Linked DNA regions of Caenorhabditis elegans. The protein of the gene in region 2 interacts with the protein of the main gene of each other region in a pairwise test. Each region holds a gene or a part of one and is shown on either strand. Other genes may lie near its edges. The genes, in order: myo-3, itr-1, unc-54 and gon-14.

Region 1 (7,586 bases), on a different chromosome or scaffold from region 2:
CTTTGCCTTTTCAATATCACCACGAGATCTCTTCTCGCGGTCAATATTTTCCTCGAGCTCATCCATTTGTTGCTCGAGCTTGTTGCGGATCTTCTCAAGATGGTTAACCTTGTCTTCTTCAGATTGAAGATCTTCGTTCAATTTGCGGTTGGATTCTTCTTGATGCTTCTTCTCCTTGTTAAGCTTTGCGACAGCTTCATCTTGATTAGCCATCTCATCTTGAAGGGAGCGGATGTTATGATCACGGCTCTGCTTCTCCTGCTCAGCCTTTCTCAAAGAAAGCTCCAAATCTTGAACATGCTTCTTGGTATCAGAAAGTTCTTGATCAGTCTTCTTCTTTTGGCGAGCAAGATCCTCGTTACGTTCTTGCATGTCTTCAAGTTGTCCAGTGATATCGGACAGCTTGCTCTCAAGGGTAGCCTTGAGTTGGTTGAGCTTCTCGTTTCTTTCTTCAGCATCGGCAAGATTAGCCTTTTCAGTTTCAAGGCTCAAGAACAATGCGTTCTTCTCTTCAACCAAATCGGCAACTTGGGATTCCAATTGGGAACGAGCAATTTCTCCGCGTTGAACTGCTTCTTCGAGCTTTTGGATCTTTACGGCAAGCTCTCCCATTGCTTCTTGTTCCTTACCGGCCTTGAGCATTGGCTTGACCTTTCCGAAAAGCTTGAACCATTCCCAGGTTCTGAGTGTGCACCAAGCACGAACATTGCGTTGAACAACAAGCAATCCAGTTTGTTGTTCGTAACGACGACGAACTTCGGCCTTGGCAAGGTAAGAACGAATGCGGGATTGGAACATGGTAACGATTCTAGAAAGAATCTCGTCACGCAAGTCCTCAAGCTTAGCAAGAACTCCGGCCTTGAAGAAGATCTTGGTCTCTCCAACCTTGAACTCTTCATCGGTCAAGTTTCCATCAACAGAGATCTTGTCAAGGATTCCGACGGAAGCCTTCTTTGGATCAGATTCCTTAGCGGCATCAGCGGCAAGGATAGCGTAACGATGCTTGAAATCTGGATAGAGCATTCTGTTGGGGAATCCCTTACGGCAAATTCTGATTCCTTCCAACACTCCGTTGCATGTAAGCTGGTTAAGAACAAGCGCAGAGTCAATAACTCCAGAAGCCTTCTTCTCGTTTGGAATGATACAACGGATGAAATGTGGGTGAGTTTGATAAAGCATGTTCATCAAGTTGTTGAGAGACTCTCTGTAGATCATAGAGACGGTAGCGAATGAAGATGATTTTCCACGCTTTCCTCCTGCAGTCTGTCCGGCTTTAGCAGCCTCGGCAGCCTCTTCTTGAGTCTGGTAGTCTTGCCAGATATCCAACATCAAGGAGTTGTCGGTAGAGTGCTTGAGAAGAGCGACAGCGGTGTCGTTGAGAGGATCCTTGTTCTTCTCGAGGAAGTTGGTGGCGTTGTAACGGACAGTTCCAGCGTAGTGAACAATAGCGAAGTGAGCATCTCCCTGCTTTCCCTTTGGTGGCTTTGGCTTCTGGAAGTTTGGATGTTTTCCAAGATGTTGATCAAGAAGCTTCTGAGCATAGGTCATATCAGTGGCCTTTGGAACGATACACTCCTCATCAAGAATAGAGATGATACCGAGTGGTTTCTCAATAAGCTCAATACAGGCTTGAAGATCAAGTCCGAAATCGATGAAGGTCCAGGCAATTCCTTCACGCTTGTATTCTTCTTGTTCAAGAACGAACATGTGATGGTTGAAGAATTGTTGAAGACGTTCGTTGACAAAGTTGATCCAGAGCTGTTCAAAAGAGTTCAAGTCGAAGATTTCGAATCCAGCGATATCAAGCACTCCGATGAAATGCTTACGCTCAATCTCCTTTGCGTCAAGGGTCTTGTTACATCTAAAAGTAAAATAAGTAGAATAATATTTACCCTAATTAAAAATATTTGCTCTTTGTTATTTACCTGGTGATGATCCACTTGAACATACGGGCATAGATAGCCTTGGCAAGTCCAGAAACGGCCCAGTTGACCTGTTCCAAGTTCTGTCCCTTATTGACCCATTCGGTTCCGACACGGACACGTGGCTTGGTCAAAGCCTTGAGGAACTCCTCAGCTTGGATTCCGAGCATGGCAGCAGCGTTGAGAGCATCTTCCTCACCGTCTGGCTCGGCTTGCTCTTCACGTGGACGCTGCTTGAATTTCATTTCTCCCATGTGCATAATTCCAGCAGTGGAACGGTAAAGATCCATAGTCTCGTTGTCTTCGAATCCCATGATATCGAAAGCTTCCTGAGTAAGTCTCATCTCCTCCTTATCATCCATTCCTTCGATGGTAAGCTCGGCCTGCGAGCAGAAGTGATAGTAAGTGATGTCGTTGCTAAGCTTAAGCTTTCCACGGAGACTTGGATCGTTTCCAGACATAATCTGGTAGAAGATGTGATAACAACGCTCTCCTGGTGCCTGACGGACGACACGAGATTTTTCGAGAAGATCTGAAAATATTTTTCTTTTTTGAATGGTTTCACTAGTTTCAATTTAAATTCCTCCAATCTCATTTTTTCTTAAAAACTAATCATAAAAGATCACTCACAGTGTTCAATATCTCCTCCAGCCAACTTTCCAGATCCAGAGAAATGAGTTCTGATGAACTTTCCGAAACGGGAAGAGTTGTTGTTTCTGACAGTTTTAGCATTACCGAAAGCCTCCAACACAGGGTTCGTTTGCACAATTTGCTCTTCAAGAGTACCTCCCTTCTTTCCATCCTTGGCTTCTTTGCCGGAAGCAGCTTGCGTGGCTCCAACAATAGCGAAGTAGGAGATAACCTTCTTGGTGTTCTCAGTCTTTCCAGCTCCAGATTCTCCGGTGATGAGCATAGACTGGTTCTCCTTGTCTGAAATTTGAAAAATAAAGTTCTAAAACAATTAAATTTTCACATACCTTGAACCATGTTACGGTAAGCTTCATCAGAGACAGCGAACAAATGAGGTGGCATCTCATTACGTCTCTTTCCCATGAAGTGCTTGATTACAGATTCACTGTAGATTGGAAGACGTTTGTATGGATTGATTACAACACAGAAAAGTCCGGAGTATGTCTGAAAATTAAGTCGGTTCAATTTTTGAATAGTATTAATTTTTTTTTTGAATAGTTTCAATTTCCTTACGTAAATCATCAAATCCTTGTAACGATCCTTGAGATTTCCCAAAACAGAGGCCTCATTCAAAAAGGTCAAGTTAGCCATATCCTCGGTCTTGTCGAATTTTGGCGGGTTCATCTCTTGGCATTGATCTTTTTTGACGGTAATCTGGTTTCCCTTCACAGTTACCACGGTCACCTGTTCGCCGGTGGTGGATTGGATCTCGGCGGCGACGAATCCTGAAATTTAATATTAGCCTCCAAGAAATATATGTTTTGTCGCATGCGGCTGATTAAAATCAGAATGTTTTATTCGATTATGTCATTTAGTTTTTGTTTCTGTACAAAAATCATTATTGTGAGATTTATAAGTTATAGAACAATCTTTTCTTTTTCATTTTCAAATTTAGTATTTTTGATTTAATCCTAGTTTTATTTGTCATCCTCGAATAATAGATCTGGTCAGAATTACCATTTTATTGACCTTGACTTTTTAAATTCCGATTTCATATCCACATTTCAATATTAAATCTTCAAAACATGTACATATTGTTGTCCATCCATAAAATGTGGGACGTCAAATATCTCAATCTTAAATTCCAAGAAATCTCATCATCTTTCCTGCCAACAGCAGAAGCCGCAGTTCAAACGGCAGGAGAAGCTCTTGCTCCGGCTTCATAGCGTACGTGTGTGCCTGCCCGCTTCTCCGGAAAGATTACAAAGTGCCGTTGTGTGTATGTGTGTATGTGCTTCATCAGATGACCGAGAGATGAGAGAACCTCAGATGTTCAAAAATCCGCCACCACTGGTTGCCCGGCGGGGTCGGTGGAAAGTGTGATGTATCATAGATAAAATGCAGATCTGAGAGACACAGATGAAAGCGTAGGAGAGTAGGATGAATGTGGACACTGGCGATGAGAGAGAAGGTGTAATAATAGTTTTTGTTAATGGAATGGACATAATGAAAGTTAGCTTGAATTGGTTTGGTAAGAATTAGGAAATTGAACAAACAATATCAAAGCAAGAGTTTTAAAGTGTTTTTTGATTAAGATGTTCTGTTTAGATCAAATGAAAAATTTGTATCCAAATTAGTTTCATTAACAGAAAAAAAGTATTTACAAACTTAACCATCATAACTCTTTGCAATACCACTATTGTAACCCTTACATTTTTAGCGTTGACAACTGATTTCTAAAATTAGAACATATCACAGTTACTATTAAAATTATGGGAAAATATTCTTGCCAAATATTACAGCACGTGGTTCAAAATTTTTCTTTAAAATTTTCAATTCGAAATCAAGACTTACCATCTTCTGGATCCGGAATCCAGCAGTTCTTCTTGGAATCAAAAGGACGAGCAGCAGTGGCAGCTCTGGCCTCTCTCGAGATTCCCAAGAATGGGAATCCTGGATCATTTTCGAATGCGTCTGGATTTCCAGACATTTCTAGATGGATCTAGTGGTCGTGGGTTTGATGGCTCCCTGCCCTGAAAATTAGACGGTAAAAGTGGAAGAAGAAGCTGGTTGACAAGCAAAGAATCCAAACGAAATGTGAGAAACAATTGAAATAAAATAGGAAAAAGAAAAATGGAACACTGCTTTTCAGAGATAAAAAAGTTATAGACATTGCTATAAGTTTTTGGAGAACAATGGTAAAGCGTGGTGAGAAGTTTTAGGTTTCAATGGGATTTGAAAGATGAGAGAAGGTATTGAAAAGGGACCTCAATCATCTTTTTGTGCCGTTTTCATAGCATCAAAAACCAGAAGCATGCTTCTTCTTCTTCTTCTTCTTATGTTTCTTCTTATCCTCCCACTCCGGTAGGCTCTCCTCCAATATCAATTGAATTGTATTGAGCCTTCGGAGCGAGTTGTGGGGGAGCAACAGAATCTATACAACACGCACACACATCATCGTTGAAGATAAAGAAGAAGAAAACGGAATCCCGGGAGCTATCCCGCCCTCTCTGCACTCTCTCTCTAATATTCTATTCTTGCTCTTCTATTTTCACTTCGGGAGCCCAACCAACACCTACCCTCCTTCGTTTTCCGATGAACTTGTGTTTAGAGACATAGAGATATCAGAGAAGGGACACAAATTTTGTTTTTAACAAATCGCCGAGAAATTTGAAGAAAGGTGATGAAAAACTGGGTGCTATTGTTAGCCAGTGGGGAATGTAACTGGGAATACCCTAGGGTTATGAAACTTTTCAGTTCTTACACAGGTAAAGCTGGATTTTCCAAATCATCAATCGGTTCCTCTGCAGTCTCGATTAAAATATTTGATATTTTCGTCAGGGATTTTGAAGACAAAAAGTTACTTTTTTCAAAAAAATGTAAAACTGTAAAAGGTAAAAATTTAATAGTTGGAAATATGTGATAACAGAGACGTTTACCTGATGGCAGGAGGTGTGATCCATTATATTCCATTATATTCGCGCACTCTTAACATTACACTAGTGCTATCTGAACAGTTGCGAAGAAGATCACAACAACAGTTTCAGATTTCAAGTTTTCCTGATTGCGCACCGTGTTGTTCATTTAACCATGTTTAAAATTAAATATGAAATAAGGTGCTTTGAATAATTTTTAACGATGCTTGAAAAATAACTTCTTCTACAAAAATGGTTAATTTCTATGTACAATTTTTCTTTTATAAATTATACTGACTCTCAAACCCATTTTTCTGTTCTTTGTTTTCTGTTTTTCATATTTTCTCGACTTGACTGTTTTGCACCCCCTCTGCAATCATTTTTGTTGACCCATACGTTGCCATCACGTACCAAGTCCAAGCTATGGTATCTGTTAGCAACAGTTGTCACTAATCACATGGCTCTTTTTCTCTGTTTTTATTCATTTTCTTCAGTATCTCGTGAAGAAAACAATGTGTTGATTGGTCTTTCAATTCTTGCAACAGATGCATTAGATTCAGGGCGCCGGAAGTGCAAGAAGTGGGCGCTAGTGAAGAATTGAAAAATATGCCAAACATCTGGATAAAAATAAAAAATTAACTTGCAGATAAAGAAAAAACATTGTGGTTGATCAGAAATGATAATTGGTTGGAAGCCAAACTTTAACGTTGGTTGACCAAAAATACATTGAACTAATTGGGTTATTCGTGAAATTAAAACGTATATTTCAGTGCACTTTTTGACTAATTGTAACCTGAAAAATATATATGTATTCCAGAACAGTTTTTGACCTTCTTACTCTTAGAAATCTTAAATATGTATTGAAAAATTGAAATGATCGTAACACAGTCAGTTTGGCCATACTATTTTTTTGGGTTCTAAAGTCAGCGGAGCGAAGCTGATTGCTGAATTTTTTGAGCACAATACCCAATATGTACTTCGTGAGTTCCGAAAACATATGAAATGTAACGAAACTTGAAGATCTAGTTCATCACATAATCCTGAAAACACTGATTGTGAAAAAGCAATCACACACAAAACTCAAAATCGGCCACCATAAACCTTTTTGCGGCCAGACCCTTTTGAATTAATCTGTGTGCCTTTAAGAACGCGTTTCAGAAATTGCAAATATACAATTCTATATCATTCAAATAGCATCTGTTCAATGATCGGTAGTTTCAGAACATATTCCAAAGATCAATTGTCATTTTAGAACTGATAATTAAACTTTCTTCACCTACTTCTATTTTCAGGAGATTAGTATTTTAAGAACTATGACGTAGTGGAATGTAAAACTATGGCACGTGACAAATTATGCAGTTAATTACAGAATAATCTCTAATTAGCCTGCACTTTTATTTTCGAAAGAAATACTCATGTTTTGTCGGGAAAATTATTTTATTCAAGAACTTATTATAGCCGGCAGTGATAGAGTACAGGTTAAAATAAATTACTGAAAATATATGTCAACCTGATCTTTGTTGCAGCCTTATCAAGCAAAATTCAAAATTAACGAAAACAGAGACTATAATCACTTGTTTCATTGGTTTTCATCAAACAGTTCAAATAGTTCAGAATGGAGAAGTAATTGAGAATTTATTTTTTTATTCGGTTTGACTGATTGCCTACAATGGTAAAAGATATTCCAATATTTCGATTTTTAATTATGTTTGTTGCATTTTTCTGTCTAATGAGTATATTTTCGAACTATACAGTCATAAATTTTACATTCATTTGTATGAAGAATGACTCATCTGGTATTAGGACATCTCCAAATGGAGTAAGTTACTGAATCAAAAAAAAGTTAACGCCTATTTCCAGACTGAATACAATATTTATGACTATTCGAGTGATGAAAAAGCAGAAATAATATGGGCGGTAGCAATTGGAACTGTACTAGGAACTGTTCCATATAATTGGTGCTATGTTAAATTTGGAGCAAGGTAAATATTTTTGGAAGTAATTTCTAATACATATTAACATTATTCCAATAGGTTCACATTTCTCTCGGCTGGAATTCTCTCATTTATATCGACTGTATTAATTCCCACAATGGCTTCAACCAACTTCTATCTACTTT
Region 2 (7,552 bases):
GGAGTTGGAAATAGAGAGTTCGCAAGATTTCGTATCGTTGGTGGAATTGGAGTTATATTGAAATGAGTTGATCCAATATTTGATACAGCTTTAATGAGACGTTGAAAGGAACCAGGGATGTTATTAGATGATGAAGAAACTGGTTGAATTGGAACTTCTCTGTCGATTTGAAAACTTTTAGCAATTGGAGCAACACATTCTCGTCCACATCCGTTCGAGCAACAGATCAACCGACCACTACAATCAGAGTCTTTTTCACATCGAAGTGCACATATACCACCAGTTAATCGTGGGCATTCTTCTCGATTTGATCCTGAATCAAAAAATATGTAATGAGCTTTCATACTTGAAAACAAAAAATACAAAAATTATGTTATCAAAAATTCATTTTCAATTTTGAATTTTCAAAAAATTTATCTTGATTCTTGGAATTATCTTGAAATTAACTTTAATACATATGTACATTTCTTTTTTGTAATTTTGAAGAAATTAAATGCATTTTTTAGTTTTTCTTGTTAAGGACATGAGTTGATTTTTTATTTTTTGAGAAATTCTAATATAGAAGGTTATTATGTGATGTAACCGTTGTTCGTTTTTTTTTCGTTTTTCAATTGTCTTTTATAGAAAATCGAGAAAAATCTTTGGCAAAAAAGGAACAGAGTATTCACAAAAACGTGTCCGAATACTAGCTTAGCCGTGTAGTAGCCAGATAATTGTCACTTCTCTTCCCAAAAGAGACTGGTCACGCACCATAATTGGATGTACACTTACCGAACTTTGGAATGCAGCGTGCTTTCACGCCAATTGCAATGCAACTTTCTGATGGTCCACAAATTGTCGTCTAAAACATTAATATAGAAAGTAAAATATTATTAAGAACAATTATTTCTCGTTAAATATATTATAGAGTGTTAGAAGAATTCAAAAAAATATCAGAGATCTTTCAAAAAGCCTAACCTGGCAAGGATCCATTGCACATGTGCAGATACATTGTTGAAGAATATCTTTCAAATATCCAAAAGGGCATAATAAATTACAACTGGTTGGACGGAAAGGACATACATTTGGTACACTTGCCGGTAAAAGGTCTATAGAAGACGACAAAAATGGTTTCAGAATTAAAAGATACAGTAACCACATAATTGCTCATTTGACATCCGGAAGTGATAAGAATAAAAGATGTGATGGTCAATTTAGGATAGTAAAAGATGACAGGTGGATTGAGGGAAAAGAGACAGGTTACTTCTGTTGAGTGGACACATTGCAACCCCCGGCCACCACCGCCACGGACACGCCGCCCACTTTTGCGGTGTGAGGTGCGAAACTGTCTTCCGACAGATTTGTAAATATTACGAGGAAGTTGATGTAATACGGAAGAGGTCCACTGGATTTATGTGAATGAAGAATCAAAAGATTGTAAAATGTTTAGATATGATGAGCTACAGGGTCAAAGGTGATTTGATACACGATTTTCGAGCAGAAATGCTGACTTTTCGAAATCTCATTGTTGTTTAATCAATCACGGGATGTACGAAAGGGATCTTGGTTTTGGATTTTTGAAAATCAAAATATTACAGGAAAATATAATGCAAAACTAGTACAGACTGTGAAAATGTTTCTAACCTTGATTTCTGCTCCGTCCAACTGTGAAATTACATTGTGTGTCAATTTCAAAAACGGTACGTGATTTTTTAGTTCTGGTTTTTAAGTGAACTTTATGTATATGAGCTCTGAAAACAGGAAAATAAGGGAAAATTAATAAGGTAGTCAGAATGAAATATTGCAATTCGAACATAAGCATTTAGTTTGAAACAACCCGTATTTCCCTTATTAGTTTTGTAGCTTCTAGTTTGTCATGCACTGATTTTCCGACAGACCGGCTATACTCTGTGGGAATTTCCGCAAAAATTAAATTTAAAATTAATAGATGAGATGTGGTATGTAGTTTTAAAAAAGTCGATGGATTCAGAAAATGCTCAGAAAAATCCGCGCATTAATTTCCAAAACTATCACATTTCAGAAAAGTATCAAACATCATATTTTTGGAGTCCAATACTACTTCTTCATTTCTTTTTTTTTTTTCTTTTCCACTAGTTTTACAATAAAATATATTGTTTTGTCCTAATGAAGCACATTTCATTTTGTAATGTTTTTTAACTTTCTACTGTAGGATATTCTATTCCGTAATCGTACAAATCTTCTTTCTCTCCCAAATTTAGGCTGCGCCCTGTTTCAAAGCTCTGCTAATAGTACGCAAAACAAATGTATTCGCTAACTCTTTCGCTCATTTCGGTATAAGTGTCACTTGGAGATCTCTTCGTCTCTCGCAACCCGTATTTGTATTGTTTATCTTCCAAAATGGTAGTCGACTGCTCATATGAATTGAATTACTAGCGGGATATGAAAGAGACATGAGATTTATAAAAAGTAACTGAATATTTCAACTTTTGAAATTGAACTTGTATCATTTTCGAAACTAAAATGGAAAAACAGGAACGATATTACTTCATTTTTCCACTTAAAGATGGAGTAGCAAAATTTGGGTGATTGTTTTTAGAATCAAAATTGATCCTAAATACCTATTGAGACAACTTGAAAATGTCTCAAAAATTATTGTATTAGGTTAGTCATTCTCTAAAAGAAAACGGGCAACCCTTCAAGTATTAAATCATTTTGAGCTTGAAAAGAGAGAACATTGTTCATTAAAATTCATGTTTGGGCTCCTAAATCTACAAAAAATATCACATTTATATTTTCGGCAATTCTGATTTCCTGTAATCGACAATTTCAGCGATTGCCGAAATCGTCGAAAAGTCGATTACCGAACGGCAATTGCTGCATGCTATGTATCACACCGTTTCAGCGTTGTGTATCGTATTTGTTCAAAGATAATTTTCTTGTAAATCTCGATGTTATTGACTACTGCAGCTAATACATTTGAATTCCCATTAATTCCTTTAATTTGATAAGTGTGACTTGGTTCCCGTTGCCCACCATCTTTTGTTCCTTTCCTCCTATCTTCAAATCAAACGCATCTGGAATCTATTTTTTTCATTGTTGTCTGTCTACCGATGCCAACGATCTGACCTTTCTTAATTGGTATTCGCGCTCATTTTGACATTGTGTCAACTTCAACTATTTGCGCGGGTTTACCTGCAAAAAAGTAAACAAGAAAAATGGAGATGAAATGAAAGAATTTCCAATAGAAATTTGTTGTTGAAAACTCTCTGAACCATGAGACCGTCCAAGACGTTAACATCAAATCTTTTCAATTCAGAAACGTTTCCTCTTTTTCTCCTTTTGTGACACGTTTCCTCCGTTCTTTTTTGGAGAGTCACTATATTTTTAATACGATTTTGCTTTACAATTTCTTTTTTAAACTTTTATTGATTTTGTGCTTCTTATTTTCCATTTTTCATAAAAAGTATTCCAGAATGAATCCATCATATGGCCGGGTTCGTAAGAAAGTATCCATTATATCTATTCCAGAGTTCGTTCCCGAGCATTATGAATGTAAGTTTTTACATTAAAAAAAAACTTCTAAAATCTGCTTCAATTAACGATCTTATTTTTTTTCAAATTTTCACCGATAAACTTAAATCTAATTGATACGGTTAGCATTGATGAAATCACTGAAAAATGTACAGGAAACTCAGAACTTTCTCAGTTTCAATGTTTCTTTTTAACCTTAAAGGTTGAGTAGCGAACTATATTTATTGTTCTCAAAATTCAAAACCAACGTCTAAATAGTCTCAAATTGAGCCTAACTTATTTGGCCAACGCCCCAGAAAAAAAACCAACAAGAAACACTTAATAAAACCACCAAAATGTGTAAAATGGAAGTTAAAATTACCGGGCGCCATTTCACAGGATATGTTTTGTTATTGTTCGTGTTAAAAGTTGGTCCATAAAGTAGATTTGAATATAAAGCCAAACTTTTGAGAACCGGTTTTGATTTTGACTATGATGAAAGAGTTTTGAATTAAAAATATTTAAAAAAAAAACACTTTTTTTCAATTCTTCTAGAAAAAGTGCATTTATTGACTCACCGTTAGAGCATATCGATAAAACAATAGACAAATACAATCATATGGGACATCAACCAGCAAAACACTTTAAAACACATTTTTGTTCCCGGAGGTCTCTATTTTTTCTTGTCTTTCAAAAGAAAAGGGGCACCTGTAAGCGGCTTACGTACCGTCTTGGTTGTCTATTGATGTATGTGAGGCATATACATCTATTTCATGAATGTTTCAACAAACAAAATATATACCGATTGTTGTGTCTCTTTCTCTAATATTTTCCTGGTAAACGATATGCATAAATTTCTGTTTCTCTTTCCTCTTTCCACACATCTGTTCGTATTATTTTACAAAATGAACTTACAGATGTTTTTTTGTTGTCTCGTTGGCATCGTAACTAATCGAAAATGATTGATGTTCGAACACGAATATCATTATATTTATTGTCGTCTTCATCTTTTTGTCGAATAGTTTGTATCGTTGATTTCTAACATTAGACGTCATCGAATCGTTCATCAAATTGTCGACCTGATCAATTTCTTTTTCTCTCTATTTCTCTTTACACAACTTCAATCTCTGAACTGTAAATTCCAAATTCGATTAAAAAGGCTAGAGAGTTTGATCGTTCTGGTTTGTGACTGAATTATTTGATGAAAGATCTAGTACGATTAATATGTTCATTATCAAAAGCTAGATGATCATTATTTGCCATTTTAATTCAAAAGAGGAATGATCCAGAGACAATGCATGAAGGAAATGATAATTAACTTGAAAATTATTTGGTATAAACGCCTTAACAGGTTGTGAAAAATTTAGGAAAATACCGAAATCGACAATCATAATAAAACACTCCACAATTTTTGATTTGGTGAAATTTTGTAAATTGTAGATTTTTCAGAAAGTTTGGACTTTTTGAGTAATTTCGAGCATTGCTACAGATGTGAACCTCTAGAATATTTGAATAAAAATAATTTCAATTTTCATGAAATTCAAAATTTTATAAAAATTGTTAACAATTGCCGACTTCCAAAATAGGTGAAAAAATTAAGTAATTGTCACTGTTTCACTGTAAGTAAAAAACTTTGATAATTTTTTACAAAGCTCTGCTAACTATAAGATATCCGGTAATTTCAATATTATTGGGCTGATTTGAAACAACTTCCTCACTGGCGATACTTTTCATTTAACTGAGTATTAAAAAGCATGAGCAAGTTGCCAACCAACTTTTAAATAAAACATATTCCCGTTCCGTGTATATGTTTTTATATTGCCGTTTCTATTCAGTTTTTTGCTTTCCTTTTTTCCAACATTTTGCTCATAAAACAACGTGCTTCACAGCTGTGATTCGTTGCATAATCGTCTTCAGCTTCTCGCTCATAAAACCAAAATGTTTTAGATGTTTAGTTGTCACTTCATGGTTTTTTTTGTTTTTTTAAATAGCTTTTTTGAGTTCAAATCCTTGCATGTTTCTGAAAATTTACACGCTAACTAACCTATCACTCCTTATTTCAAAATTAAAAACAACTTCCTTAAAAAAATTAAAAACCGTGTCAAATGTGATTTGTGTAAAAGAGTGTGGTGTAGAAGTGACACAGATCGTTAAACTTTTATAGTCCTTTTGCTTTGAGCGTACCGTGCCGTCGATCATCCGATGTGAAGAAATTGTCTAAAAAATGACAAGAAAATGAGAAAATGTTTAGTTTTGCACAATTTTCAGACGAAAACGAAACGACGGCCAGTGGAGGTGCTAGTGGTGGTGGAAGCACACGAATTGAATTTGATTTTGATGATTTTGAGGAACAAATTATGAGGAAATCCAGGTTAGTTTGTATTCTTGAAAAATCGTATTATTCGAAGAATAAATTGAGTGTCATTTGGCTGTTTTGTTACAAATCCTGTTTTACTGTTATCAAAAAAAAAACAATTGAAAAAACAACGTGAATGGCGAGAATATTCCTGTATCAACAAGAAAAAAGAGCCTTTTCAAATTTGTTTGAAAAAGAAGAAACGCTGCTCATTCTCAAGTACTTTGTATATCGAGATGGTCTCCTGGTATCGGTATCACTTTGGAAAAAAGTACAAGGTCGCCGATATAAAAAGGGTGTAATGATCATTTATTTGAGGTATTTTTGATTGGAAAAAATTTTGGTAAACTATTCTCGAGTTATTTTTTTTCTCAAATCATATGTGCTTCTATTTTTGAATTAACTTGGAGATTCGAATAAATCAGTGAACTATTGCAAGCAATACTAACTTCCAATTAAATGTTGAAGTAATATGTATCAATTTTGAATAATAAAAATGCATGTGAACCTGATGAATTTGATTTAAATCTAAAGTTAATGATACGTATTCTTATAACCGATTTATAGTAAATCCTGGCATATCCAGATTCCAAGGTGTATCTCTTTTGAAGGGGAAGTAACAGTTTTGAGTTGTTGCTTGAATAGACTCAAGATTTTCTCAAAATACTGAAAATCACAACGAGAAATCTCGGAAAATTTTATGGCGTTCAAAATTATTTTTTGGTGCAGTCGCACAATTTGATAACCACCTCTAAATAAAAAAATCCCTATAAATTTTAAAATTTATTTTAAATTTTAAATTTTACGTAAATTTTCTGATGAAGTACTTATCGCAATTTGTGTTCCCATACTCCTTTTTTCCAGACAATGGCAAAACTAAATAATCCGTTTAATACTATTAGTTTGATTTTTTAGACTGATAATATTAATTTGCAAACTATCATTGATGATTCTCCTGTTTTAAACAGACTATTGTGGTTAGTTCCGTTTGTCACTTATTAATCCAGAGTTATGGACAAAATTAGATTGAATATAAATTTAAGTCCATTACTGAGTACCTTGTTACTTCCGAGTTTTCGAGTTGACCGAGAACAATATTTGGCGACCTCTGAAGCGTGACGGAGATGATCGAATATTGCTAATATATTTGTTGAACTGTTCATGAAGTTCGTTCATATTTTGATTGTTTCGGTATCATTTCTTTTTCCTTCTCCTCCATTTTTTTTTCCGTCACGAAACAGTGAAATGATTGTGGGCATATCCGCCGAGTAGTAGGCGGACAAGCAAAACGTCATGATATCACCCTTCTTTTTTTCGCCTATTTTCTGTGGTCACTGATTAGCTTTTGACAACCTCACTCCTCTTCATTTTTGCCCATTTTAACTCAAAACACCAACCCATTAACATTTTATAGTTTCCTTCTTCGTGTCTTAACTTTCATAGTTTTGTTTGAGAACTGAAGCACATTTTTTGGCAACTTACTAGAAAGTAATTTTTGAATTTAGGTTTTTTCATAGAACGGTTAAAATTTTCGCGGATCGTCAGAAACATACAGTAAAAATCAGAGGATTTGTAAGTAAGAAAAAAGAAAAAGAGAATAGTTTGATTGTCTGTCTGAATCTCTTCCTCATTCTATACTATTTCTTCCTCTGGTGCAGTGTACAGAAAACTGTTGTAGAGTATGAATAACTAGAGAAAAAGAGTTGTTTGCATACAGATGTAGAT
Region 3 (7,319 bases), on a different chromosome or scaffold from region 2:
TGAGCTCTCCCTCGACCTTTCTCTTCTGCTTGTCAAGATCGGCGCGGGCTCTCTTCTCGCGCTCAAGGGAATCCTCGAGGTCATCAAGAGTCTGCTCAAGCTTGGCCTTGACCTTGTTCTGATGGTTACCCTTATCCTCTTCGGATTGGAGGTCCTCCATCAGCTTGCGGTTGATTTCTTCTTGATGCTTCTTCTCCTTGTTGAGCTTGGCAATAGCTTCATCTTGCTGTTGCATCTCATCTTGAAGGGATCTGATCTGGTGATCCTTGGATTGCTTCTCAGACTCAGCCTTGCGGAGAGACATTTCCAAGTCTTGGATCTGCTTCTTCAAAGCCTCGACCTCGGCCTCGATCTTCTTCTTAGCGCGCTGAACATCAGCGGTACGGTCTTCGTTGTCAGCGAGTTGATCGTTGAGCTCGGAGAGTTGCTTGGAGGCATCCTTTTGTTGAGCCTCAAGCTTGGCAAGTCTTTCCTCAGCATCGGAGAGTTGAGTCTTGGTGGATTCCAAGTTGGTGAAGAGAGAAGTTTTCTCTTCGACGAGCTTGGCAGAGGACTCCTCGAGCTCCTTGCGAAGCTTCTCCTCCTTGGCGAGACTGTCTTCGAGGGCCTTAACCTTGTCGTTGATCTTCTCGAGCTCCTCGGCTTCCTTTCCGGCCTTGAGCATTGGCTTGACCTTTCCGTAAAGCTTGAACCATTCCCAGGTACGGAGAGTGCACCAGGAACGGACGTTGCGCTGAACAATGAGAAGTCCGGCACGTTGTTCCATACGGCGCTTGCGGTCCTTGAGACCCAAATGCCATCTGATTTGGGATTGGAATCCGGTGAGGATGGTGGCGAGCTTCTCGTCACGGATGTCTTCAAGATGAGCAAGAACTCCAGCCTTGAAGAAGACCTTGGTGAGACCGATACGGAACATCTCCTCGCTGAGGGATCCGTCGTTGACGAGCTTGGACATGATAGCCTCGGCGCACTTCTTCTTGTCGTCATCGGACTTGGCCTCCTTGGCGGCAAGGATGGCGTAACGTTGGACGAAGTCTGGATGAAGGGTTCTGTTGGGGAATCCCTTTCTGCAAATTCTGATTCCTTCCAACACTCCGTTGCAGGTAAGCTGGTTGAGAACCAAAGCGGCATCGATCATACCAGATTGCTTCTTCTCGTTGGGGATGATACAACGGATGAAATGTGGGTGAGTCTTGTTGAGCATAGTCATCAAGTTGTTGAGAGACTCTCTGTAGAGCATAGAGACGGTCATGAAAGATCCGGACTTTCCCTTCTTCTTTCCACCGCCACCTCCCTCCTTGGCCTTAGCGGCGGCCTCTTCCTGGGTGGTGTAGTCTTGCCAGATCTCGACGAGAAGATCGTTTCCCTTGGATTGTTTCATTGCCGAGACAACGGTGTCGTTGAGGGGGTCCTTGTTCTTCTCGAGCCAGTTCAAGCAGTTGTAACGCACAGTTCCGGCGTAGTGCCGCATGGCGAAGTGAGCTTCTCCTTGCTTTCCCTTTGGTGGCTTTGGCTTCTCGAAGTTTGGATGCTTGCCAAGATGTTGATCGACAAGCTTGGAAGCGAGGGTCAAATCAGTAGCCTTTGGTACGATACACTCTTCATCAAGCATGGAGATAATACCGAGTGGCTGAAAAATAAGAATTGATCAAAATACATTTAAAATTTCAATTCAATCTTACCTTCTCAATAAGTTCGATACACGCTTGCAAATCAAGTCCGAAATCGATGAAGACCCATTGAATACCCTCACGGGCGTATTCTTCCTGTTCAAGGACGAACATGTGATGGTTGAAGAATTGTTGGAGCTTCTCGTTTACGAAGTTAATCCACAACTGCTCGAAGGAGTTGAAGTCGAAGATTTCGAAACCGGCGATATCGAGCACACCGATGAAATAATCACGATCAATACCCTTTTGATCCAGAGTGAGGTTACACTTCTTGACAAGCCAGTTGAACACACGGGAGTAGAGACCCTTGGCCATGGCTCCGACAGCCCAATTGACTTGTTCGCAGTTCTGTCCCTTGGATACCCATTCGGTTCCGACCTTGACACGTGGCTTGGTCAAAGCCTTGAGGAACTCCTCGCATCCGATTCCGTACATGTTGGATGCCTTCTCGGCCTCATCGGTACCATCTGGCTCAGCTTGCTCTTCACGTGGGCGTTGCTTGAACTTCATGTTACCCATGTGCATGTGAGCGGACATGAGGCGGTAGCAATCCTGCTTCTCGACGGCAGAGAAGTTGAGGATGTCGAAAGCTTCATCAGTAAGTTGGAACTCTTCGACGTCATCGATTCCGTCAATGATCAACTCGGCCTGGGCGACGAACCAGTAATCCTTGATTGGCAAGTCAAGAAGAAGTTCCTTCTTGAGCTCTGGACGGAAGTCAGAGTAGATTTGGTAGAAGATGTGGTAGCAACGCTCTCCTGGAGCTTGACGGATGACACGAGATTTCTCGAGCAAGTCTGCAAAATTTATAGTTTAAAACAATAGTTGCATAATTTTTATTGAGCTATGCTAGAATATAAATCAAAAAGTAACTCACAATGCTCGATATCGCAAGATGCGAGGCGTCCGTGCTTGTTGAAGTGGATACGGATGAACTTTCCGAAACGGGATGAGTTGTTGTTACGGACAGTCTTGGCGTTACCGAAGGCTTCAAGTACTGGATTGGTCTGGACGATTTGGTCCTCAAGGGTGACCTTCTTCTTATTTGGATCAACTTCAGCTCCACCTTCCTGTTGGGAGGCACCGACAGCGGCGAAGTAGCAAATAACCTTCTTGGTGTTCTCAGTCTTTCCGGCTCCAGATTCTCCGGTAATGAGCATAGACTGGTTCTCGTGGTCTTGGAGCATGTTACGGTAGGCTTCGTCAGAGACAGCGAACAAATGTGGTGGCATTTCTGTCTTTCTCTTTCCCATGAACATACGGGCGCAAGAGTCGGTGTAGATTGGGAGACGCTTGTATGGGTTGATGACAACGCAGAAAAGTCCGGAGTAGGTCTGAAATAGGAAACATTCTAGTTTCGATTTTTAAATACTGCAGGATTCAATCCCTTTGTTTAATTTTATGTTCAGTTGCATTCCCTTTAAGTTCTTCGAAATATAGACCCCTGTTACTTCTAACTTGTGCAATGAATCAAGCAGATCTTCTTCATCTTCTTTTCTTCAAACGTTTTTTCTTAGAAAAATATATCCTCACAATACCTTCTCTCTTCTTTGCCATCCCCAATGGCAGTATCTGATGCAAGGGAGCCTGTGGGGCTCCCGTCATCCACAGTGTAATGTAAGATGGTTCAGAGATTCAGAAGAGAGGCAGAGATAGCCTCATCCCACTCAATTGATGAGAGAATGGGATAGAGAGAAACATTTGAAAACGAGAAGAAAAGAAGATAGAGGGAAGGAGTTTCGGGATTTTATGGGAATTTAGAAGAAGAATATGAATGATTCTCAATGCTTAACTTTAAGTTTCAATGAAACTTACGTAGATGAGCATAGCAGCGTAACGGGAACGCAAGTTATGGAGGACAGAGGCGTCGTTGAGGAAAGACAAGTTGGACATGTCTTCGGTCTTCTCGAACTTTGGTGGATTCATTTCTTGAACCAACTCCTTCTTGAGGGTGACCTGAATCACACTACATTGAAAACCGTAATCATTAGCTTAAAAACGAACCTCATTTCCGCGAGCGGTGACGATGGTGACCTGGTCTCCCTTGGTGGCGGTGATTTCTCCGGCAAGGTATCCCTCTTCTGGATCTGGGATCCAGACGTTCTTCTTGGAGTCATAAGGCTTAGATTGATCCTGAAATTACAATAATGGTACAAAAGAGATCAGAATTCAGAAATATATCACTTCTAAAGAATACCAACTTGTGTTGAAAAATGGTCTAAACCGCTTCACACTTTAGACCCATGAATGGAATGGAATCAAAAAGTAAAATCAAGGTTAAGCTTGTGGTGTAGTCAAAATAAATGTGCCGTCTCAAAATACAGTACTACTGCAGCACAATGTGTCACAAAATTCCAAGTGCAATGCAAAAATTTAAGAAAGGAAGATTTCAATGATTTCAAGGGAAAGATGATCTTGAAGCTAAATCTATGAAAAATTAGAAAACAGAAATAAACATTGATTACAAGGATTACAAGGCAAGCTCAAATCTTCTACCTGAATTTAAAAAATCTATAAGTGTAAAATGGCAGACTTTAACTCAGTTGTATGTTAAAAATCTAGAATTTCAAAAATAAATGCTCAGTTTTGTTAAAATTAGATACTTATGGAGTACTATACGATTTACTCTATAGAAATGAGCATAACAATAAAGACAAATGAAAGAAAAATAAATAAATAAAAAATAAATACTCACCTCCAAAACCTGCTCTCTGGTACGGCGGAGATATTGCCATCCTGGGTCCTTCTCGTGCTCCATGATTTCTCGCTTCTTTCAAATGGTTTCTCTACCTCAAAACTAATGTGGTGCTCCCTTAGTCGAGGTTGATGATGCGAGTGATGAGTGCCTGCTTCTTCCTCGGCAGGAGGATGTTGGCACCCGCAAGCCACGCCCCTCTTTGGGGATTCTACGAGGTGTAAAGCTGTGTGCGGCAGCGGCAGCGGCGGGAGAGACGGGAACCCGGCTTCCCGGGAATACACGAAGCGAGAGACGCCTACGCGTAGTGGAGGGTGCCAGAGAAGATAGTGGAAGTCTCAAGAATTCCATTGGAGCACGAAGAAAAAACCAGGGATAGAGATAGATCGGGAGTTGGTAAGATCGGGAAAAATGAATTCAGAGAGTACGGTCGGTCAACTTTTTTTATAGGAAAGTGCAGAACAGTGATAAAAGGAATAAGATAGAATGTTTACATACAACCAGTGAAAATAGAATACCAGTTTGATTAATGGTTCTTAAACAGATCTTCAGCCTCCTCTTGATAATCTTCCACGGTTCACCACTAGATCTTCAGATTTTAAGCAAATCAATACATTTACGACCTAGTTAACTTGCCTTTGCATTACTCTTTTTACAGAGACCAGTGAAAACCGAAAATACTCACTGCAGTATTCTAAGCGGCAAAGCTCTAATATCAACCCTAAAATTGTTGATCTGAAATTGTTTCAGTGCAGTTTTCCTTTAATTTTTTTTGCAAAAAAATCAAGAAAATTGTTATAACAATTCTTTCAAAAAAAAAATCAAAAAAATTTTTAGACCAATTCTCCAAAAAAATCACAATTCTTTAAAAACCTCCCGGAGTGTTTACCTACACTTCCTGAAAAACTTTCAAAGTTTGCAAAAAAGCATTTAGAGCAATTATGCAGGTCTCTAAAGTAGTGGTTAAATGAGACAATTTCAGATCGATATTTTAGGGGTTGAGAGAAAAGTATTGCTGCTTAAAATTTTGCAGTGACATACCTTTCGTGACATAATCTAAAACACTTCAGATGAAACATGTCTCATTTTGAAGTTTGAGGGTAAAATGTAAAAATTTCCTTGTTAGAAATGCATTACAAATAAAGTCTGCAAAATTGATACTAACCTACTTTGGAGTCGAAGTAAGTTTTAAGACTATTTTTATTGATACGTAGAGGAGAGGGGGGCAAAAATATTTAATATTTGATTACGGTACTGCGATTCAATGCTACAGTAATAATTTTGATCAGATGGATTCGAGGTATATCATTGTGGCGGACAATCGATTTGGAGGCACCTGTAATACTTATCAATTCTACTCATTCGAACTTCAAGTTGCACCAATCAATTTTTCGAGCCTTGGTAACTACTATGAAGTTGTCGCGTTTGCTTTAAAAGGTCTCCTGATAATAGTATCTGTCTAAAAATTTACGAAAAGGCTCATAAATCATTCTCATGATAGTATGTATGTAACTGGATAGTCTTTCCGTTTGCTTTATCTTCTTCAAACATTTTCTTCAGATTTTTGTGCTTCTCCAGCAAATCAGCTTCTCTCCAAATCCCACAATCTCATACTTCATCCTGACGAAAACAATTCGCGGATGCTGTAAGACAACACGGGAATATCACGAAACCCCTAGAGACCCAGACAAAAGTAACAACTGATTCTTCGTCTCGCGCTCTCCTTGATTGCAACACTATCTCCAGGCGCCTAGGAGTTTGAAGGCATGTGGGAGCGCTTGGAGCATCCAGCAGCATTTTCTGGGTTCCACCGGGAGGAGACGAGGTTTTTTGATTGTAATAAGAGATACACAAAAGCCAAGGGTCAGTTGGAAGAAATTTCCGGGATGATAAGATAAATTACACGTTCTTTGATTTTCTGTGATATATTCTTTTAAATGTAAACCCAACTGTACAATGAACCAAACTTCCTGTATTACCCAGCCTCAGTGACGAGCCAGTTTAAGCTCAACAGATTTGACTAAGTGGCAGGTGGAAAAATTTCACTAGTGGCTGTCGCAGTTTAACCATATTTTCTTTAGTACTGGTTACCGAACCATTTTTAGATTCGTTAACATATTCACATTTGAGCGGTGACTTCATAAATTCCTCTATATTTTGATACTTCTACAACTTAAAAAACAACACAAAAACACACTGCACGATTGCTTCAATTCTTATATCCGTAACTCTTCTTTCTTTTTGCCACCGACATTTCTTCCCCTCCAAGTCTTGTGTAATACGGAATGGAGAAGAAGAAGAGGAAGCATCGGAAAACGAAATGATGACAACACACACACACACACACATACAACACTGATATTTAACTGAGTCGATCGAAGGGTTTATTCGGTAATTATATCAAGTATTTTTGTTTTTCATTTTACGATGTTTTTATAAAGCGAAAAATGAAATTTTTCAAATAAATGCCCTATATGCCATTCAAAAAATATCTAAAGAAGATGATAATTTTAACAAGCGGACTTACATTGGCACATAATGTTTTATTATTCAAAAATGTGTTTTTCAACATACTTTTAATTTTCTGTTAGCATGGGAAACGAGAACGTATGTAATGCGAGTTGCAAAAGTTAAATAGCTCTTGAAAAATGGTGCTATCGAAATGGAGCGCATTTTTTCAGATAGTCTTCTGAAGCATTGTTTACAGGTTTATTCAAGTATCAAAAATGCCTTCACTGGAAATGCAAAACTTGAGATTGCAACCTTTGTCAAAATATTAGAAACAACTGCATTGAATTATTTCAACTGACTTTGAATAAAATGAGAAAATATTATTTCAACGCTGTACCATTTAAAATGTTCAATGTTCATCTTTGGAAGATGTTGAAGTCGATAACGAATGGACATCAAAGATAGGAGTTGCACAATAGTCGGATTTTTTACCAAAACAGCTG
Region 4 (9,685 bases), on a different chromosome or scaffold from region 2:
TTTCTGTAATTCTTTTTTAATTTTGGAAAAGATTTTTGGAAAACCAGCAACATTTTTATGTGCAATTTTCATAATTATATGTGGGGTTTTCAATACTTTTTGAACCGTTCTATATACTTCCAGAAAACCTGAAATCTTACTGCAGGCTAGTATATTTCCTTCTACATACCTCATGACACAGAAGCCGTGGCAATACGTGGATTTCAAACTTTTACGTCACAAAATTTTATGTTGAGGATTCTATGTAGAAAAAAAGTGTTATGCGCCCAAAGTATCAAAAACACGAATTGCCACAGTTTTCAGAAGTCAATCTGAAATGGGACAAGCTAGGGTTCATAAATAGGACGTCCACATCGTTCTCGATTTTGATACATTAATTTTATTAACAAAAATCGATTATTTGGGCCAATATTATCTAGATACGGATTTGAGCCTGAAGTTTCCTGTTAAGAGGACGCTAAGCACACAAAATTTAAGAGGACGACCTAGTATGTCCTAAATAACAGCCATAGGAGAAGCTGTCAAAATTGACAGCAGACAAACTCCGCATCATATCTTTTTTATAGATGTTTTATGAAATATTAGCTTATTTATTTGAATTTAACTTTTTAACAGTGGGTTTATTTTCGAATTTAACAGTGGGTTTATTTTTATATTTTATGCCTGAATTTGATTGAACTGTGCCTCCAATATTTTATTGCTTCTCGAATGTTTCCGATTTTCCATTTTTCGATGTTTAAACAATTTTCTACCATCCGTCCAATGATAAACCTATTTTCTTCTACCGTTTCACGAAATTTGCTTTTGATATCAAAATGTCGTTGAAGTATTAATTCCACAATTCTTGTTTACAGCGTGACTCCTGACGTGCTCAAAGATGAAAAAATGGGGAGAGCAGAAGTGCGATATTAGTTTCGATAATTTTTTTTCTATTGAGTTTCTATGTATTAGTCAGTTTCATGAACCGGTAATGAACATTTGATTTTAAAAACTGTACTTGACGTCATGTGTATCAACGCCTTGAAAACAAACTTCCGGATTACAATGAAATTAATGAAATTTTCACATGATAAGGTTTTGAAATACTACACAGTTCAGGCACATTAAGAATTTGAAAAATATATGTATACTGTCTTCAGTTACGACAAATATAATTTCAAGGTGACATGTCAATGGAAAATTGCCAGATGGTAAATTGCCGGGAGGCCTAATATGTAGGTACAAATAGGTATAAATATAATAATGAAGTACAAGATGAGGAAAATGTCTGAAATTTGTCTATAGCAGCAAAAATTTGAATCTATGCAATAGGTCATATATTTGAGCTCATAGAACTACGAATTTTCCCATTTGGTAAAAAATAAATTCAGACTGAGTCTTCATTTACATTTTCAGGAACACTTTAACGATGAATTAGATCGGAAATTTTTTCAGTGCAATGGGTCAGCACTTTAGAGACCCCCAAAGTTTCTCAAAAATGTTGATTTTTGAAGCGCTTTGATGAATTTAAGAATGATTGTAGAATGTCAAATATGCTAGAGGCTTTTAGGAATTTTTTAAAAATAAATCTGAAACGTTTTTCATTCAACTCGATCAAAAAAATTTCCGATTTTTTCTGAAATATAAAAAGCTTTGAAAACAGCTCAAGTTGTTCCAAGAATCACATATTCTTATCAAAATTAGACATGGAGACAACTTCTATAAGGCAGTTTTTAAATTAAATATTTAGCTGAAAAAAATTTCTTTAAAAATTTCAGAACAGTTTGTCAGAATTATATAGGAACGAATATATTCTCCGGTTCACAAATGAATGCTCTATTGCATTTTAAATTATGGGCAATGGTCCTGCCACGACTGGAATGTTATCGTCTGCCGTACCAACAGCGTTGGACCACATCGATCGATGGTAGTTTTTATTAACTTTCAGTCATTTTCTTATTTTAATTTTATATTTTTTGTCGAAAGCAATTTTTAAAATTCATGAGTATTCGATGGTTTGTGATAAAAAATATTTTAAAATTAAAAAGTTTTACATATTTTTTTAATTGGAAAATATTTTTGATTTTTTTTTCTAATATAAATTCAGAAAAATTCTTGGAAGAAATAATTCGCTAAAACCTTTCTAGACTTATAATTTTTCATATAATCCATACTGTCGTTTGAACATTTGAAAAAGTGGGCACGGTAAGAAAATGTACGCAGTCTCATGACGGTGTTTGCGTACTTGAACATTTCCGCGTTTTCCATGGCCACAGTCAATTTATTCGGGGCATTCTTCTTTGTTTTTATTTTGATCTCTACAGATTTCAATCATTTTCCACTTTAATTCATGTCTCAGCAATTTTTATTGCACTTTTTAAATGAAACACGTTGATTTTCGTATAAGAAGTCTAAATTATTTCACTTAAAATAATATTTTCAAAAATGGTTTAAAAATCTATATTTTACTTTATATTTCAAAAATATACACTTAAATATTCAAAATACAAGTATAATACTTCTGATTTTCAATTTATTACTGTTGCGCCCAATATTCGCGCATGTGATACGATGAACAATCGTCTGCGATTTGCCGTCGCGGTGTTTGCGAGCCACAGAAATAAATTGTTCACAATTGTTTGCGCGTCTCTCACAACAGTAAATTTAATGGTTTTTCGCAAAAAATTTTGGGTTTTCTGGAAATTTATCGTTCTCTCTAAAGTTTTCATCTTTATTACGAAAAAAATTTCAGATGCTCTACAAATGCTGTAAATGTTTGGCGCTGTTGAATAAAAACAGCATGGTTATTGTCCCCAAGGATCCTGAGAATCTGAAGAATTGGATGGAAAAGTACGATTTCCAGATAAAAACGATAATGGCCGGTTCAGTTCACTTCCTGTGCAAAACACATTTGTCGGAGGATAAATCTGTCGAAAGAGTGAGGAAAATTAAATTCTTTGGAAATATGAATTACTTTTATTTACAGATTCCCAGTTCCTCTGTCGAATCAGCTACTGAACAATATATGTTGGAGATCAAAGAAGAGGAACCTTATTCTCAAGCTGGATCATCATCTGAATCATGGCCAGAAGTTAAAGAAGAAGTCATTGAACCTGTAGAAGAAATAGACTACGATCATATGCCATTTGAAATAGAGCAAAACAGTTATGAAACTTTTGATGAAAGCAAAAGTTACCACAATTCCTACGAGTCCGATCATCATCAACCAACAACGTCAACCTCAGCGACACGTGCAATCCGCAGACCTACAACAAAATCGCTAGAGTTCACAAATCTCCCGACTTACCTACAAGAGCTGTCTGATGGAGAAATTTTGTCGTTTTGTGTGAAAACCAGCAGCAATTTGAGCGGTGCAACCTCGTTGGAGTGCGGGATGTGCGAAGAGCAGTACTTTAACAGTACGGACACTCGACCGATCCGACATCATTTAATTAGTAGACATGAAGCAACAATGAAAAAATACAAAAATCATTTGTAAGTTCCCGTAGCTTTTAAAATTGTGTTCAATTTTATGTCTATTTTCAGTCCAATAACGGCAGCACCTAAAATTTATGCACCAATTCAACAAGTGACAATTGACAGAGCTGATCAAGCATTGACAAAGTTCTTTATAAAGAGTGGAATCCCACTGCGAGCAGTTCAAGATCGTAATCTAAATATGCTCGCGTTCAACATGAATTCAGAATATTCTCTTCCAACTGTTGAAACGATGCATTCATTTCTCGAGAAAATTGCTGATGCCAAAGCGGTAGGGAAGAAGGGAATTTGAAATAAAAATTCAAATATAAATGAATTTCAGAACGCAAAATTGAATTTCGACGATAGTCCAGTGACCATAACATTTGACACGACGACTTTCAACAATCGTCACTATCTGGCTTTTACAGTCCATTACTATCATATAAGGTCGCGCATGAGACGATGTATTTTCTTACGCGAGTATGATATGACTGGGTACGTTCAGTTTACAATAATACTTGTAACTTTCTATTTTTTATTTCAGCCCAATTGTGCCATCCGTCATGACTGCGATCCAGAAAACAATAGAAGAGTCAGGTTCCCGATTGAAAATCACCACTGTTGTAGCGGGAAAAGCAGAATTTGAGGATGCTTTAGAAGATATGCACTCGTTCAAGCAAGTGTAAGTGAACAAATCGTTCATTTTTTTCTCAAAATGAAAACTTTCAGCATGATATGCTTCTCCCAAAACATCAACAAATTCGCAGAGACTCTCATTGAGCATCCTGTCTTTGCTGGACCGCTTCAAAAGCTTCGAGACTTTATCACGAAATTTCCCACTCATCGAAATTCTTGGGGCAAATTCAAGTCCTATATCGTGAAGAAACGTACTTATGGAGAATATCCCGAAGTTGATAATGGTCACTGGATTACTACGTTGGATTTTATCACAAAGTGCCTTCACATGGTATTTGATAAAACAGCTAATCAGTCAGAAAATCATTAAACCATTTTCAGCATCGACTATTCAGTGAGTTTGTGTCTACAAGTGCACAACTTCAATATATTGATGTCGAGGATAATGTAAACATCGTATATCTTCATAGTTTGTTGAATCTATGCAAAAGTGCACTGAAAGAGGTAAAAAGAGCCGAACTTGTACAATTATACAGTATGTAATTCAGATGGTCGATGTGAAAGCAACGATTGCGGACGTAATTCCAGCCATTGCAGATATCAGTTTCTCTTTAATAGTGTAAGTCATAAATTTTTATTTTTTAAAAATAAGTTTCTCAGCATAGTCCGTATATTTAAGTAACCGTATAGTATTGTTACACTTTAAAAAATATTTCGAATCGTCAATTTTCCAGCACCACGAGTAAACAAACAGTCGTTGACGCTGTGAGCACGATCTTCAATCAACTTCTTCTTCCATTCGTCGAGCAATCAGATATACATCGCTTCGCTTTGTTCCTTCATCCTCTTCGTCATGGCTCTGATCTCCTTGCATCAGCCGACTGGATGAAAATCAAAACTGATTTATCCAGTCATTTATGTTGGTTTTACTACTTTTAAATTTTATATTTAAAATAATATTTCAGCTCTCCGTGAAGCAGCTGAAGCCACTCTTGCACATCCATCGTCATTCGACAATACGATAACTGCAGATGTAAGGAAAAATTATTTGAAGGCGCACGAATTCATTCTGATGGGTCTCGTCGCGCAAAAAAGTTTATGGTATTTTTCTTTAATTTTTGTGACTGCTTCCTCGTTTATTTTCCTTACGGTTATTATGTAGTTTCTAGCGATTTTTGCCGTTTTTATTTTTCTGTTAAACATGGTTTTAAATATGATTTTCTAACCTTTTGTCGGCCGGAAAAATGTAGAAAACTGATTTAAAACAATGTTCAACAGAAAATTTGAAAAACCACAAAATTTGCCAGAAATGAAGTAATTTCCTTGAGAAACGAGAAGGTGACCGGAAATATAAAAAAAAACTTCGAGACCTATCTGTATAAATCTTCGCTTTTTTAGGAAGGCATGTCAACATTTCTAGAAATCACGATATTCATTCCTATGGTATATATTTTTACAGAAAGAGGTCAATGCGTTCTCACAGTATGTGTGCAGAGTTACTGGTGTTGAAACTGGAATCATGGATTGGTGGGCTCGTCACGCCGGTCGCTTCCCTCGTCTGTACAAATATGCCAGAGAGCTTTTCATAATTCCAGCGTTTTCGATTGATGCCGCTTATTATCTCGGGTTAGGAAATTTTATTCGCTTAATTTCAATACAGTTGACATTTACAGAGAGTACGGTATCCTTACACATTCGATCAACGAATCAGATATCTCAAAAAGGAAAATGCTACTTCGTGCAGCGAGTGAATTAGTTGAATATCGGTAATTTTAATTCTTAGATCTCCAAAACTCATTATTATTTTATAGCTCGAAGGGATCTTTGATGTGCAAACCAATTTGCGTAAAGCGAAGAAAAGACGCCAATTCTCCTGAAGATGCTTGGTATCATGCAATCGATGTGAGAGCTCTACAGATTGTAGATGTACCATCAGACGAGCCTCCAAAACGAATGATTCCTCAACGAACGCCATTTGTGTATCAGAATCCAAACCCACTTCCACCGCATCGAATTCTACAATCGTTTCCCACAATTCGAACAAACAGAGAAGCACCACATGGAAGAAGTCTGAAAGATGAAATTGCAAAAATCGCTGCGAATAGACAGAAGATTCAGAGAGTGTACACTGTTGCTTCATCATCGCCGTACGCGAGGCCTGTTGTCGTTAAAACCGAATCCAAAGAGGGCATTGTTGAACAACTGACTCCATCGGCTCCTCCACCGAAGAGGTACTACGCAGTACGACCTGCGGCAGGCAATGGAACAAGTGTGATTCGCGGAAAAGATGGTCAAGTATTACGAGTTATCAGAAATACCCCTTCGTGAGCTGATCAATTAAAAAAAGAAAATATTCGATTTTTGAAATATCGAAAAAAAATGTTTCAGAAAATATTTTTTTTAAATCAATGTTTACGTTGATGAGAAAGCATAATAAAACATGAATATTTTCTAAAAAGCAGTGAAATTATTAAGAATTTTGAGCTATTTTTTGAAAAATCAAAAAAAAATTTCGAAATATCAGAAAATTGAAAGTTTTCGATTTTTCAAAAATTAAACAATTTTTGGTTTTTAATTTTAGTGAGAAATCAAACAACCGACATCCTTGTATCAAAGGTGTCGCCATAAAATGTTCGATTTTCCGGTATTTCTCATAGAAAATAGAAAAAGTTGTTCGGTTGTTTTTTTTTGGAAATAAAATTTTATTCAAAAAAAATACGAGGAAAGTATGTATAGATTTATCTCTCAAATCAGAGAAATGACATTATTCATAAAAATGAAATGTTTTCCAAAAGATCGAAAAACAAAATGTTCGATTTTTTAAAATAAAATTACATCCTTTCTGCTGATACCATTATTAACCTAAATTAAATATATTCAACTTTTCAGAGTCTCCTTCAACTTAAACACTCCTCTGACTGCATCGAAAAAGATGTATTTCATTCGTACAAAAACTGGTGTTACCCATCAGCTACATCAACCTCCACAATAATCCCAGCTCATACATCTGTACCTCAATTCACTTTAGTTATTTGTCACTAGTTGGTATTTTCATTGTTTTGTTTTTGTTATGCTACTTGTTTCGATATATCCGCATGTTGTTTCAAATTGACTATGCTAACGTTTTCTTTTCTCATCGACCAGTTTACTTCCCTGTTCTGTTTAATAGTTCTCAATCATGTTATTTTTCTCAATTTTTCTGAAGAGTATCTTATCATTTCTTTTTTTCTGTATTCCCAACTCACCTTGACATTTCTGAATTGTTGACCCAGCAAGAAACTTTGCATACCCTCTGACTGGTATTTCATATTTTTGGGAGAAAAAAAACGTTTCGAAAATTTGTGAATTATTATGTGAAAAAAAAAAAAAAAAAATTATCCTATCGCGTTTTCCTTTCTGCATCTAAGTCTCCAATGAGTCAGCACAAACACATTGCGAAACATTTTCTGTCTCTTTGGTATAAATAGAGAGTTTCCTCTCTTTGAAATGATTTGAAGGTTTTACTGATATCAACGTTATGAAATTTAGTCATCTCGTCGCGTTTCTTTTCGAAAAGTTTTGAATATTCAACTTTACGTTTTTTAGTTTTGGAAATTTCAGTGTGTTATTTCAGTTTATATAATGTTTCTGAATTTATTACAACACAAAATTATGAAAATGCGTAATGCGCTATCTGACTATCTGACGCGCAAAATATCTCGTAGCGAAGGCTACAGTAACTCTTTAAATAACTACAGTAGCTGTGGTGTCGGTTTACGGGCTCGACTTTTGAAACGTATTTATTCTCGAATAGTGATAAATAGCGATACTCTATTTTTCTTCGTTTCTTCGTATTATTTTCTCATTTTTGCTTAATATGATAAATTATATCTACATGATAAGTCAAAATGATCCCGTAAATCGACACAGGCGCTACAGTAGTCCTTTAAAGAATTACTGTAGTTTTCACTACGAGATATATTGCGCGTCAAATATGACATTAATAATATTTACAAAATACAGATGTTTTTTAAAAATATCTTTGTCTTTAGACAACTACTGCTATAATCTCTCATGCGTATATCGTATATTCGTTGAAATTTTAAAATTCAGTTTAAAGGCGCACACTATTTTTCTGTGTAGGTCTCGCCACGATCTCAGCTATAGTGATCGCTACAAGCTTCAAATTTCATGCATTGGTTCATTTAATGTAGAAATGTACGACCAGTTAGAAAAATACCAAACCAATATGTTGAATAAATTAACTTCAAGCCAGATTTTCTACAGTAAACATTAAGATTGTATCACCGTCCGTAAATCTATATATTCTTAGAAATGCAGCGATATTAATGATTAACAACAATTCGTGATATATACTTTCGTTATTTTAGAATTCCTAATATTTGAAAATACACACCTCTTAAAAAGAGTCATTTTCAGAAATGACCACCAACCCATCTGTCCACGAGTTCGAGACTCGTGATCTTAAAATTGCCGAGGTGAAAGTATTCACTGATAGAGCTGAAATCCGTCGTCTTGTCAAAGTTTCATTGAAATCTGGTGTCAATGAAGTTGTTCTCAAGGTTTGTAGAATATGAACAAGTTTTTCAAGTAGTTTTGAATTTAGAACCTCTGCAAAACAATGGCTCAAGGATCAATTAGAGTTGAAGGAAGAGGAAATGCAATCATTCATGATGTAGTTATTAAGAATGTTTCTCGTTTGCCAACTGAAGCTGATCCTCCAAAGGTTGGCAAGATAATTAAAATTCGAAAATATATTCTTTTTTTTAAGATCACCAATCTCAAAGCTGCCATTCTAGAGGAGAAAAATCGCCTCCAAAAAATCACAGATCGCGGAACGGTTGTCCAAAAATGCGTTGACAATTTGGACAAAGTTTTCGAACAAGTTGGTGGGGGTCTCGTGAATCCACCAAAAGATGGTGTTGCTTCTTTAAATGAAGGAACTTTGGAAAGTCTTACAAATTTCTTCCAATTCTATGGGAGCAACTCCGAATTATACAGAGAAAGTGAGTTTAAACGATAAATTTGAGATTTTAAAAAACTTAATTTTTTTTTCTAGAACTACGATCAGTTGAAGCTGGACACCGTGAGCAACAGGAAAAAGTTTCGAAACTGGAAAACGAGTTACGAGCTCTAATGCACAATTTGAATGAAGAAGCGTTCTCTCAGTGAGTTTTTGAAAAGTTTAAGGTGGAATTGTGCCAGTCGGGGAATTTACCAAAATATACTAAAAATGGGGCAAAAACAACTTTATATGTCTTTTCAAATCTTTCTTAATCTTAACTCAAACTTTTGGCAACATACCAAATTTTGAATCATTTAAAAAATTTGAAAAACTATCAAAAAACCCATAAAAATTTGAGGCGCACAATGAGCTATGCTTTGCTTTCTATGCACTATTTATTTTCAAATACAAATGGGATTACAGATAGATTTGAAGATATGCAAAAAAGCATCCAACCCTAATAAAAATTCGAAATATTATAAAGAAAAGTTCCATATGATTTTCCATCTATTTCTAGAAACAATTTATTTTTTGAGTCTTATTGTTTGACATTGTTAAGCTGTAGTATTTAAGATCACTGTTTGC

What was found.
Region 1: the proteins of itr-1 (region 2) and myo-3 interact in a two-hybrid assay, tested with the Caenorhabditis elegans proteins (one study listed by BioGRID).
Region 3: the proteins of itr-1 (region 2) and unc-54 interact in a two-hybrid assay, tested with the Caenorhabditis elegans proteins (one study listed by BioGRID).
Region 4: the proteins of itr-1 (region 2) and gon-14 interact in a two-hybrid assay, tested with the Caenorhabditis elegans proteins (one study listed by BioGRID).

What each region holds. Positions count from the first base shown.
Region 1 is NC_003283.11:12,229,759-12,237,344, forward strand, and holds the start of myo-3 (Myosin-3), read right to left. Parts: upstream 4,586-7,586; 5' UTR 4,543-4,585; coding exon 4,407-4,542; intron 4,023-4,406; exon of another isoform or gene 3,887-4,022; intron 3,832-3,886; exon of another isoform or gene 3,639-3,831; intron 3,338-3,638; coding exon 3,126-3,337; intron 3,057-3,125; coding exon 2,900-3,056; intron 2,853-2,899; coding exon 2,553-2,852; intron 2,455-2,552; coding exon 1,926-2,454; intron 1,862-1,925; coding exon 1-1,861. UniProt on the Caenorhabditis elegans protein: Essential for muscle contraction. Involved in ovulation likely by regulating the contraction of gonadal myoepithelial sheath cells.
Region 2 is NC_003282.8:7,671,740-7,679,291, forward strand, and holds the start of itr-1 (Inositol 1,4,5-trisphosphate receptor itr-1), read left to right. Parts: upstream 1-3,434; coding exon 3,435-3,513; intron 3,514-4,792; exon of another isoform or gene 4,793-4,942; intron 4,943-5,739; coding exon 5,740-5,842; intron 5,843-7,433; exon of another isoform or gene 7,434-7,552. Other genes in the region: C08G9.2 (uncharacterized protein), read right to left, coding at 1-313, 772-841, 958-1,140. UniProt on the Caenorhabditis elegans protein: Receptor for inositol 1,4,5-trisphosphate, a second messenger that regulates intracellular calcium homeostasis.
Region 3 is NC_003279.8:14,859,023-14,866,341, forward strand, and holds the start of unc-54 (Myosin-4), read right to left. Parts: upstream 4,461-7,319; 5' UTR 4,429-4,460; coding exon 4,366-4,428; intron 3,804-4,365; coding exon 3,675-3,803; intron 3,627-3,674; coding exon 3,486-3,626; intron 3,005-3,485; coding exon 2,548-3,004; intron 2,468-2,547; coding exon 1,683-2,467; intron 1,631-1,682; coding exon 1-1,630. UniProt on the Caenorhabditis elegans protein: Required for muscle contraction.
Region 4 is NC_003283.11:6,604,205-6,613,889, reverse strand, and holds gon-14 (HAT C-terminal dimerization domain-containing protein), read left to right. Parts: upstream 1-2,731; coding exon 2,732-2,917; intron 2,918-2,965; coding exon 2,966-3,474; intron 3,475-3,525; coding exon 3,526-3,748; intron 3,749-3,799; coding exon 3,800-3,954; intron 3,955-4,003; coding exon 4,004-4,141; intron 4,142-4,188; coding exon 4,189-4,426; intron 4,427-4,476; coding exon 4,477-4,599; intron 4,600-4,643; coding exon 4,644-4,714; intron 4,715-4,829; coding exon 4,830-5,014; intron 5,015-5,060; coding exon 5,061-5,128; intron 5,129-5,554; coding exon 5,555-5,721; intron 5,722-5,768; coding exon 5,769-5,861; intron 5,862-5,906; coding exon 5,907-6,419; intron 6,420-6,984; coding exon 6,985-7,087; 3' UTR 7,088-7,457; downstream 7,458-9,685. Other genes in the region: ZK1055.7 (Protein F37C4.5), read left to right, coding at 8,517-8,657, 8,702-8,821, 8,867-9,101, 9,155-9,263.